2 linked regions of the Oryzias latipes genome follow. The protein of the gene in region 2 purifies or fractionates together with the protein of the main gene of each other region. This does not show direct contact. Links are inferred from orthologs where the notes say so. Each region holds a gene or a part of one and is shown on either strand. Other genes may lie near its edges.

Region 1 (4,135 bases), on a different chromosome or scaffold from region 2:
TGCTAGCTTTAAATGGAAATTCTACTTGTATTCAGTATCATCCCCCTATACTTTAAAATTTACATAAAAGATGACTGAATTTGACAGAACTTATTTTTTTGCAAATTCCGTATGTGGAAACCTCACTAACTGAAAATGTCAGCTAATAAAAAAAAAAAATTCTAAATAATTTAGCTTTAGTCTTCTTTACAGCTATTTCACACCGATAGGGCAACATTTTGTTTTACTGTGCAGATTTTATTGTTTATAAGTTAACATTTTTTATTAAAAGATATGCAACAATGTTGGCATCTTAAAGCTCAGAAGTAGCTCAGGAGCCGTGGCTCATGACCTTAGTGTTATCAGAACTATGAAAAAATATTAGACATGTTTCCTAAAAGGCTCAGAAATTTTATAAAAAGGTTTTTTTTGAGTGAAAATAAAAGCTAGAAACCATAAAAGCCCAAAAGTGCTGATAAAGTCAAAAACCTCCCTGTGAGGGGGAGGGTCTACTTTCCTCCTGCAACTTAGAAAATCAAGAAATTTCAAATAGTCTTTTTGTTATTTTGTTATGTTTTTAAAGAATTAAAGTCGTGAGATGAGAAATGAAAAACAAAAGTTGGTTTTATTTACAAATACAAACATGTACATACTCTGCATAATTACAATTATTTTACCAATACTGTTTGTTAACTGGTGGTGCTGATAGACTCTTTGACAGTGAATGCTGGTGAAGGTCCTATATGGGTCCAAATGTAGCCTTTTTCAGGACATATGGGGATAGTGGGAAACGGGGAGCTCTGGGACTTGAAATACTCAGAGGGTGCATGGCACACAAACTCAAGGTACTCCATCTTTCTGGGCAGATCTTCCTCTGGACCTGGAAAACAACACATGATGCTTAACCCAAGACCAGAAAATCACTTAAGAAATATGTTATTCTGTAGGAGTTCTCACCGACAATGTAAGTCCCAGGATCAAACCTGTCCTTTGGGCTGGCCTGGGTGGGAATGAGCCACGTTAGTGCTGCACTTTTTTCGCAGTACTGGTCCTGCACAAATCCTCGAATCTGAGCATAGTAGGGCTTCCCGTCATCCTCATCTATCACCTTGATCACATCACCTGTCTGGTAGTAAACCCCCTGTATTTGTGAAGAGATGTTAAAAGAAACAAAAACATAGACAGTAGTCGGCATGCAACCTTCAACGCTAAAAGTGCCATTTGGGTCGATTTCTCACTGAACCCAACAGAATCCACAAAATCTCACTTCACCCTTAAAAATATTTATTGATGTCATTATTATTATTATGATAAATATAAATGAACTGTTGCTTTTTTGGGCAGAAATCAAACAAACAAAGATAAAATAGCCTTTTTAAAACAAATGAAACAGTTTAAACTTTTGACAGAAGTTCACATGAATTCCTTTCAAAATAAAAGACAGCCGGTGTCATATAGAATCATCTCAATGCAATAAGGGTATTGGCGTATTGTTAGCAGTGATAAAAAACAAAACAAAAACAACACATTATTTTATCGCTTGTGGTGAATCTCAGCCATAAATGTGTAAATCCTAACCAACCATAATTAAATCAGAGCTAATTAAGTGAACCTTACCATATTTTTCAAACGTAAACAAATTTAAAATCATTCAATTTGTTCAAAAATCCTCCCTAATTGTGCTTACTGACCTCCAATTGATTTTCTGCAGTACACTGCGCTAAAAAAAACTGTCAAAAATGTTTTTGATATGTACTGTCCTTCAACTGTTTGTGGATGAGTTGAATAAAGTTTGTGTAAGTTTACTTTCCTACTTATTTATAATTATTTTTTACATTACAGTTATATTTTAAAATCACAACGTTATTTTTCTTTAATCAGAGAGCCACAGTGGAGGGGTAAAAGAGCAACCTGTGGCCCCGGAGCCACAGGTTGCAGACCAACAGTATAACACGGACAAACAAATGATTGGAATAATAATCACAATACCTTATAAAATACAGATTCTGAAGTGACGATCGTTGCTACAGATTCAGGAGCTTTGATTGGCTGTGGGGAAGAGTTTACAGGTTAAAATAAAAGATGACAGGAAGAATGATTTTTGGTTATTTTTTTTAACTGACATTTTTTAGTTTGAAAATATGTCTCCTTCCTTTTCCTTTTGTTGACACTTTCTTCTCAGAAGCAGGAGCTTTGTATTTGGTACTTCTCAGCCGCGCAGACCTCCGGTGTATCTCCTGCTTGGACTACAAAGAAACAGACGTGGTTTGATGCTGAGCAAAGGAGAAGTTGCTGGGAGTTTGAGTCCTCCTTTGACTGACTGACCTGCTTCCCTCCGCCATTACTGGGCTGAGCGCTGAATGACATGGAAGGTCCTGCCGCCGTGGCGCTGCTGCTCTTCCCCGTGCAGTTATTGCACAGGATCTCCCCTTGGCTTCCCTTTTTCCACATGGAGGAAGAGTTCGTCTTACACGCAGCACAACACGGTTTCAAACCAAGCGGCATTTTTTTTTTTTTCAGGAAAACGACGCCGACGTAGTACGAAGGAAACTAGAGGAAGATGCTCGATTCACCCTAAAAATGCTAACAACTACTCACTAATCTTTGTTCAGCAGATGTCACAAAATGTCTGGTCTTCCGAGAGATCAATTGCAAACATTTGTCCAAAATAACTGCCATCCATTGTAGCAATTAAACGTAGTCGCTCAACTATTGTTTTTACCGGATATTAGCTTCGCTCTTTGTCTGCAATTTAGGTTCGGTCGGTTAACCGTCTAATTTTTGCGCTACCGCCACCTAGTGGACACGTGTGAAGCACAGTCCGATTTGTCTAACTTTTTAGTTATAGTGCTTGTGAAACTGAATAAAAACTGCATTTTAAAAACTATTTTTCGTCCAAAATAAAAATTTACAAGTAGATTTAATTTATGCTGCAAACATTTTACAGAGCTTTGATTAACTTAAATCCAGTTTTTCCACAATTTGCTGTCTAGTAGGGGTGTAACGATTTACTTTTACAAAAATGTAATTCATGACATTTTTAGTTGCTGCAGTGATCCGATTCACTGACCTAAAATGGATCCAGGAAAGCTAAAACTTGTACCAGTGTCACTCAGAGAGAAATACCTGGGTACCGGACAGTGCAAATGAAGTTTTCCAGGTTCCTTGAATTTCTTGCAAGCTAATAGAGTGTAAATAAATTTGTGTGCAAACAAACAAGTAAACAAGAATTTATGAAAAATCCATTCACATTTTAGTTTTCTAAAGTTTAGCCCACTTTTGTTTTTTCCAAATTAAAATAATACAAAGGGACTATTATTATAACATTCTACCATACTGTATGGTCACATGTCTTTGCTAAATTTATAAGTGTTTCCATACAATAGACTGGAATGACTGACTGATCAGTTTTTGCTGACATCATATCTAGCTTTTACTAGATAGATAGATAGATAGATAGATAGATAGATAGATAGATAGATAGATAGATAGATAGATAGATAGATAGATAGATAGATAGATAGATAGATAGATAGATAGATAGATAGATAGATAGATAGATAGATAGATAGATAGATAGATAGATAGATAGATAACTTTATTAATCCAACAATGGGGAAATTTCATTTATCTGTGGCAGCAAAAACGACATTCAGAAATAATCTATATAATATAACATCAAAAAAGGACATCACAAATGACATTCATATTAAATAGTTAAAATTATTATTACAATTATTAGGAAAATTATTATCAAAAATGAGATTCTTATTAAATAAATAAATATTAAATAAATACAGCTGCAAAAGTGTATAAAACATGTGGTCTGCAAAACATGTAATCAACTGTAAAAAACATGTAAAAACTTTTTTTTTTTTTTTTTCAAAATACAGAAATAAGTAATGAAGTTCACACCAAAAACAAAGAACTGTTCAGGAACAAAAACAATTGAAAATTGAAAAACAACAACTACAACAAAAGAAAATGAATAAATTAAGAAAATAAATAAAGTGAAATAATTACATATCGATTTATTGCGTTTTAAAATGATTTAATAATAGTATTGGCCGATTTGATTGACAACTTTCTATGTAACAGATTACGGGCTGTGACAAAATGAGGAAAGAAGTTTATATTGTTGGAAGGAACCGATAAT
Region 2 (3,822 bases):
AGCAGAACTATAGACTTGTAAACATGTAACGTGATGCTCATGAATGTTTTTTGTCAACAAATTCATACTAAAAATGTGTCAGTGTTGTTATGCTAAACAATGTAAGTGCACGGACCGTACCATCGTCATGGACCAAGCATTGACATCCTATGTTGGCTCTTAATGTGAGCGTTTTTCTTACTCTGTCAAAGCTTAGTAATAAAATGACAAATGATGGGTTTTTTTTGTACCAGGTCCCCGATGCCATTAAGTCGCAGTACCAGAATCCTCCTCCCATGCTGCTCCCTGCAGGGATGCGACAGTTGGAACTGGTTTGCAGCAGCATTTCTGATCACGCATCTTCAGATCAGCTAGCAACAGAAGCTGAGCAGCAAGAGGTACGCCTCACCACTGGGCCTGTCATTGGTCCTGCTTTGTTTCTTTATAAGCATCATAATAGGATGTTTCAAATAATTGTTTTTTGATCTTTATTTCTTGTGAGCAGTGGCTCCAGGATGTCATCGCTCTCCAATGCAGCATCATGCGGCATCTTTCAATAAAACAAACGCCTGGATCCACATCAGCTGCAGAGTTTGATTCTGAGCAGAAGAGCTGCATAAAATCCTGCATCTTATCGGAAGAAAAGAAGACTCCAGCTTCTTTTGGAAGGACTCCTTCACCTTTACCCTGTCCTAAAGCCTCTACAGGTAGTTTATCCAAAAGCTCTCTAGAGGCCTCGTTTTCCAAGGATTGTCCGGCAAAGCTTGCTCTCTGTCAGTGTGACACCACGTCATGCCAGAGCTGCCATAAAGCCAATGGATCTGTGGCAAAGCTTCAGCCTCCCAGCCCTTGCACGGATCTAGACTGTAAGAGCACGTTGGCCTCCTCCAGGCACGCTGAGCTGCAACACAGGTTGAAAGCCGGCTCCGAATCGGAGCCTGTTGCAGGACTAGGGAACCATGTCCAAACGGAAGCTTTCAAAAAGGAGCAGGAGGGCGCCACAGAGACCTGTGCTCTGAAAAACTGCCCCACCGCTCTCACGACTCGGCCCAACAGTGGCGGGCTGAACAACAAGAGCCACGGCAAGCTTCAGGAGGAGGAACCGCGTCACTGTTCCATCACAAGCAGCTCGCTCTCCCATGCATCAAAAGACGAGCAGAAGCAAGGCACGGGAGAACCCAAGCTGTTCCCACCACCAATGGGTAAAAGCAGCACTCATGAACCAGCACAGATAAACACATTCAATACATTTTAATTAGCAGCTTCTATGTACAGCGTTCCAAATTATTCTGCAAATGCTGTTTTTTTGAATGATTTTTCTCAATACTCGATGCAAATGAAAGTCGGCAGGATTTGTCTAGTCACTAACCATTTTGATGTCATTTTATTAAACAAACCTACTAAAGACGCATATTTTATTCATAAATAAAAGCCTTGAAAGTTTACTGTTCCACATTAGTAAACAGAACATTTCATAGATTCTGAAGAACTAAAAATGGTCATTTGTTGACTTTGCTGCATTAATAGATCATATTTACTGAAGTTTCATTCCAAATTCTACAGTTTCTTCGTCAGCCTCGTAGAAGAAGTCCCTCTTTGCTTCCAGCTGTTTTCATATCTGCGTTTGAGATCGATGGGCGGGCTGAGCTTACTCCGATCAGCGGAAGCCCGGTGGATTCTTTATGTTTGTCTGGGCCCACTGCAGCTGTTTCAGCCCACTTTCCTTTCACCAGAAAACAGGACCCTGGACCACTGGCCCACAGTCCAGTTCTTCTTCTCCGTTTCCCCCGTTGGTCCAGGCTCAGACGTGTCTTGACCCGAAGAACCCGACAGTTGTAGCCCGTCTCCAGAATGGGCCTGAATGTGGTGGTTTTGGAAGCTGTTCCTCCACCTCATTCCACTCTTTCTGGAGGTCTGCAGCTTTTTGGATCTTGTCCTTTTGATGATCCGCTGAAGCCCACAGTCGTCTCTTTTGCTGCTGCTTCTTCTCCTGATACATTTTGACCTTCCTATAGACTTTCCATTGATCTGCTTGGACACAGCGCTCTGTGAACAGACAGCCTCCTGAGCTACTTTTGAACTTTGGTGGCTCACCCAGAGGTCAACGATGGTCTTTTGGGAAGTTGGAAAGCCTGAAGTCTTCCTTATATTTAACCAAACTGAACCAACGTCTGGGGAACCTGTGCAGTTACTTTATGCAGTAGATCAGGGGTCGGGAACCTATGGCTCGCGAGCCATATATGGCTCTTTTGATGGTCACTTGTGGCTCACAGACAAATCTTTAATTATACTTTTTTATTTTTTATTAGACCAGTCCTTCTCGGGCGCGATGCGATGCCAGAGGCGTGGTGCTTGGAGAGAAAAATCTGCGCCAGCATTATCAGTTTACTATTATCTACTATTTCACAGAGTTTGTACCAACCGTAAACCTGTGAATTGACGTCCCTAAAACTGCACGCTCCCGTCTCCGAGAAAGAGCGCGCAGTTGCGGGGACGGGATGTGTGAGGAAGAAAGCAGAGGGTGGGGGTGAGGTGTTGTGGGGACAGGCAGCAGGTGAATCGCGCAGGGATTGTAATAACGTAAAACCTGCTGCCCGTCACTCACTGCAGCGTGTGAGTGTGTGTTTGGCTCCCCGTCTGCATGTGATCAGTCTGTCTCACATCTACAGAACATTCAGACCTAAGATCACGTTTAAAGTCTCAACGCCTGAACGAAGCAGAAACTCACCACGTATCAACCAGACTAGACCACCAGCAGAACTACCACGAGAAATACTCATCATTTATTACCAACAGAATAACAATGTTATTAAAAAGAATCCACAGACTTATTGTACTTTAAAAATGTTGAAATTAAATCAAATGCACACATTCATTTATATATTTAGTTTTAAACAAATTGTCGCGGACTGAGTTGGATGGCTGTTGGGCCGCGTTAAAAGTTCTGGAGTTCATTGAACGCGTCAAGCAGAGATCTGATTGGCCCTCAGTTCTGTCGCTCAGCCTGTTGTTAGGTAGTTTGGACCAATGGTGTTCAGCTATGGGCCGAATAAGGGAAATGGGAGGGCTGCAGCGGGAGCAGGGGAATATATAGTTGGGAGAAGCGCTCTCGTGTCGGCGGGAGAGATTCAGGAGTTGCTGAATGAATTGAACGGCGTTTGTTGCGGTCTGCAGTAACCAGAATAAAGAACTTTAAAAGAGGTTAAGTCTCCGTGCCTCAGTGTGGGGAAGGGACACTACATTATTGTATGGCTCTTTCGAAATTACATTTCAAAATATGTGGCATTTATGGCTCTCTTGGCCAAAAAGGTTCCCGACCCCTGCCGTAGATGATTAGTTGGTGACACTCCGTTTCAAACATTCACGGCCTGCAGAATTTGGGCCGATTTCTCCACGGCATTCTAATTTTAGGAAATCTTGTTGTCATAGGCTTCTTGAGCTGGAACGCCAATTTATTTCAAATAAGCAAATACTTGAAATCAATTAAAAAGCGGGCCCTGAATCTGTATTCCATGAAAGTACAATGTTTTGAATGGAATTATGGAAATGGATCCACTTTTCCATGACACTCAAATGGTTGTGGAAAGGGTCCGTATACGTCTTCCACACCCGCCTCTCCTACTTTCACATGGAACAAGGTTTTCTTCCAAGCTGTCTTAAAACTTACCAACACATCTTAAACCCAAGTGACTATTTATTTTTAAAGTATTCTTCTGACTATTACATTAAACAGAGAGGAGCAGGCCTCTAAAGACGGAACAGTTATTTCATCGGTTTCATAAAGTAAATATTTAACAATAGAAGTAGCAGCATGCTTATTTTGACTTGTAAAAACAGCCCAAA

The links.
Region 1: the proteins of phf12 (region 2) and gatad1 purify together in Homo sapiens (affinity purification with mass spectrometry; 7 studies listed by BioGRID and IntAct, with this or other methods). This does not show direct contact. The link is inferred for Oryzias latipes from reciprocal best matches to the Homo sapiens genes PHF12 and GATAD1.

The regions. Positions count from the first base shown.
Region 1 is NC_019869.2:23,121,542-23,125,676, forward strand, and holds gatad1 (GATA zinc finger domain-containing protein 1), read right to left. Parts: upstream 2,756-4,135; 5' UTR 2,659-2,755; coding exon 2,578-2,658; exon of another isoform or gene 2,485-2,577; coding exon of another isoform or gene 2,419-2,484; coding exon 2,305-2,418; intron 2,226-2,304; coding exon 2,103-2,225; intron 2,029-2,102; coding exon 1,969-2,028; intron 1,121-1,968; coding exon 937-1,120; intron 860-936; coding exon 669-859; 3' UTR 585-668; downstream 1-584. UniProt on the Homo sapiens protein: Component of some chromatin complex recruited to chromatin sites methylated 'Lys-4' of histone H3 (H3K4me), with a preference for trimethylated form (H3K4me3).
Region 2 is NC_019871.2:27,106,178-27,109,999, reverse strand, and holds part of phf12 (PHD finger protein 12), read left to right. Parts: intron 1-233; coding exon 234-377; intron 378-484; coding exon 485-1,181; intron 1,182-3,822.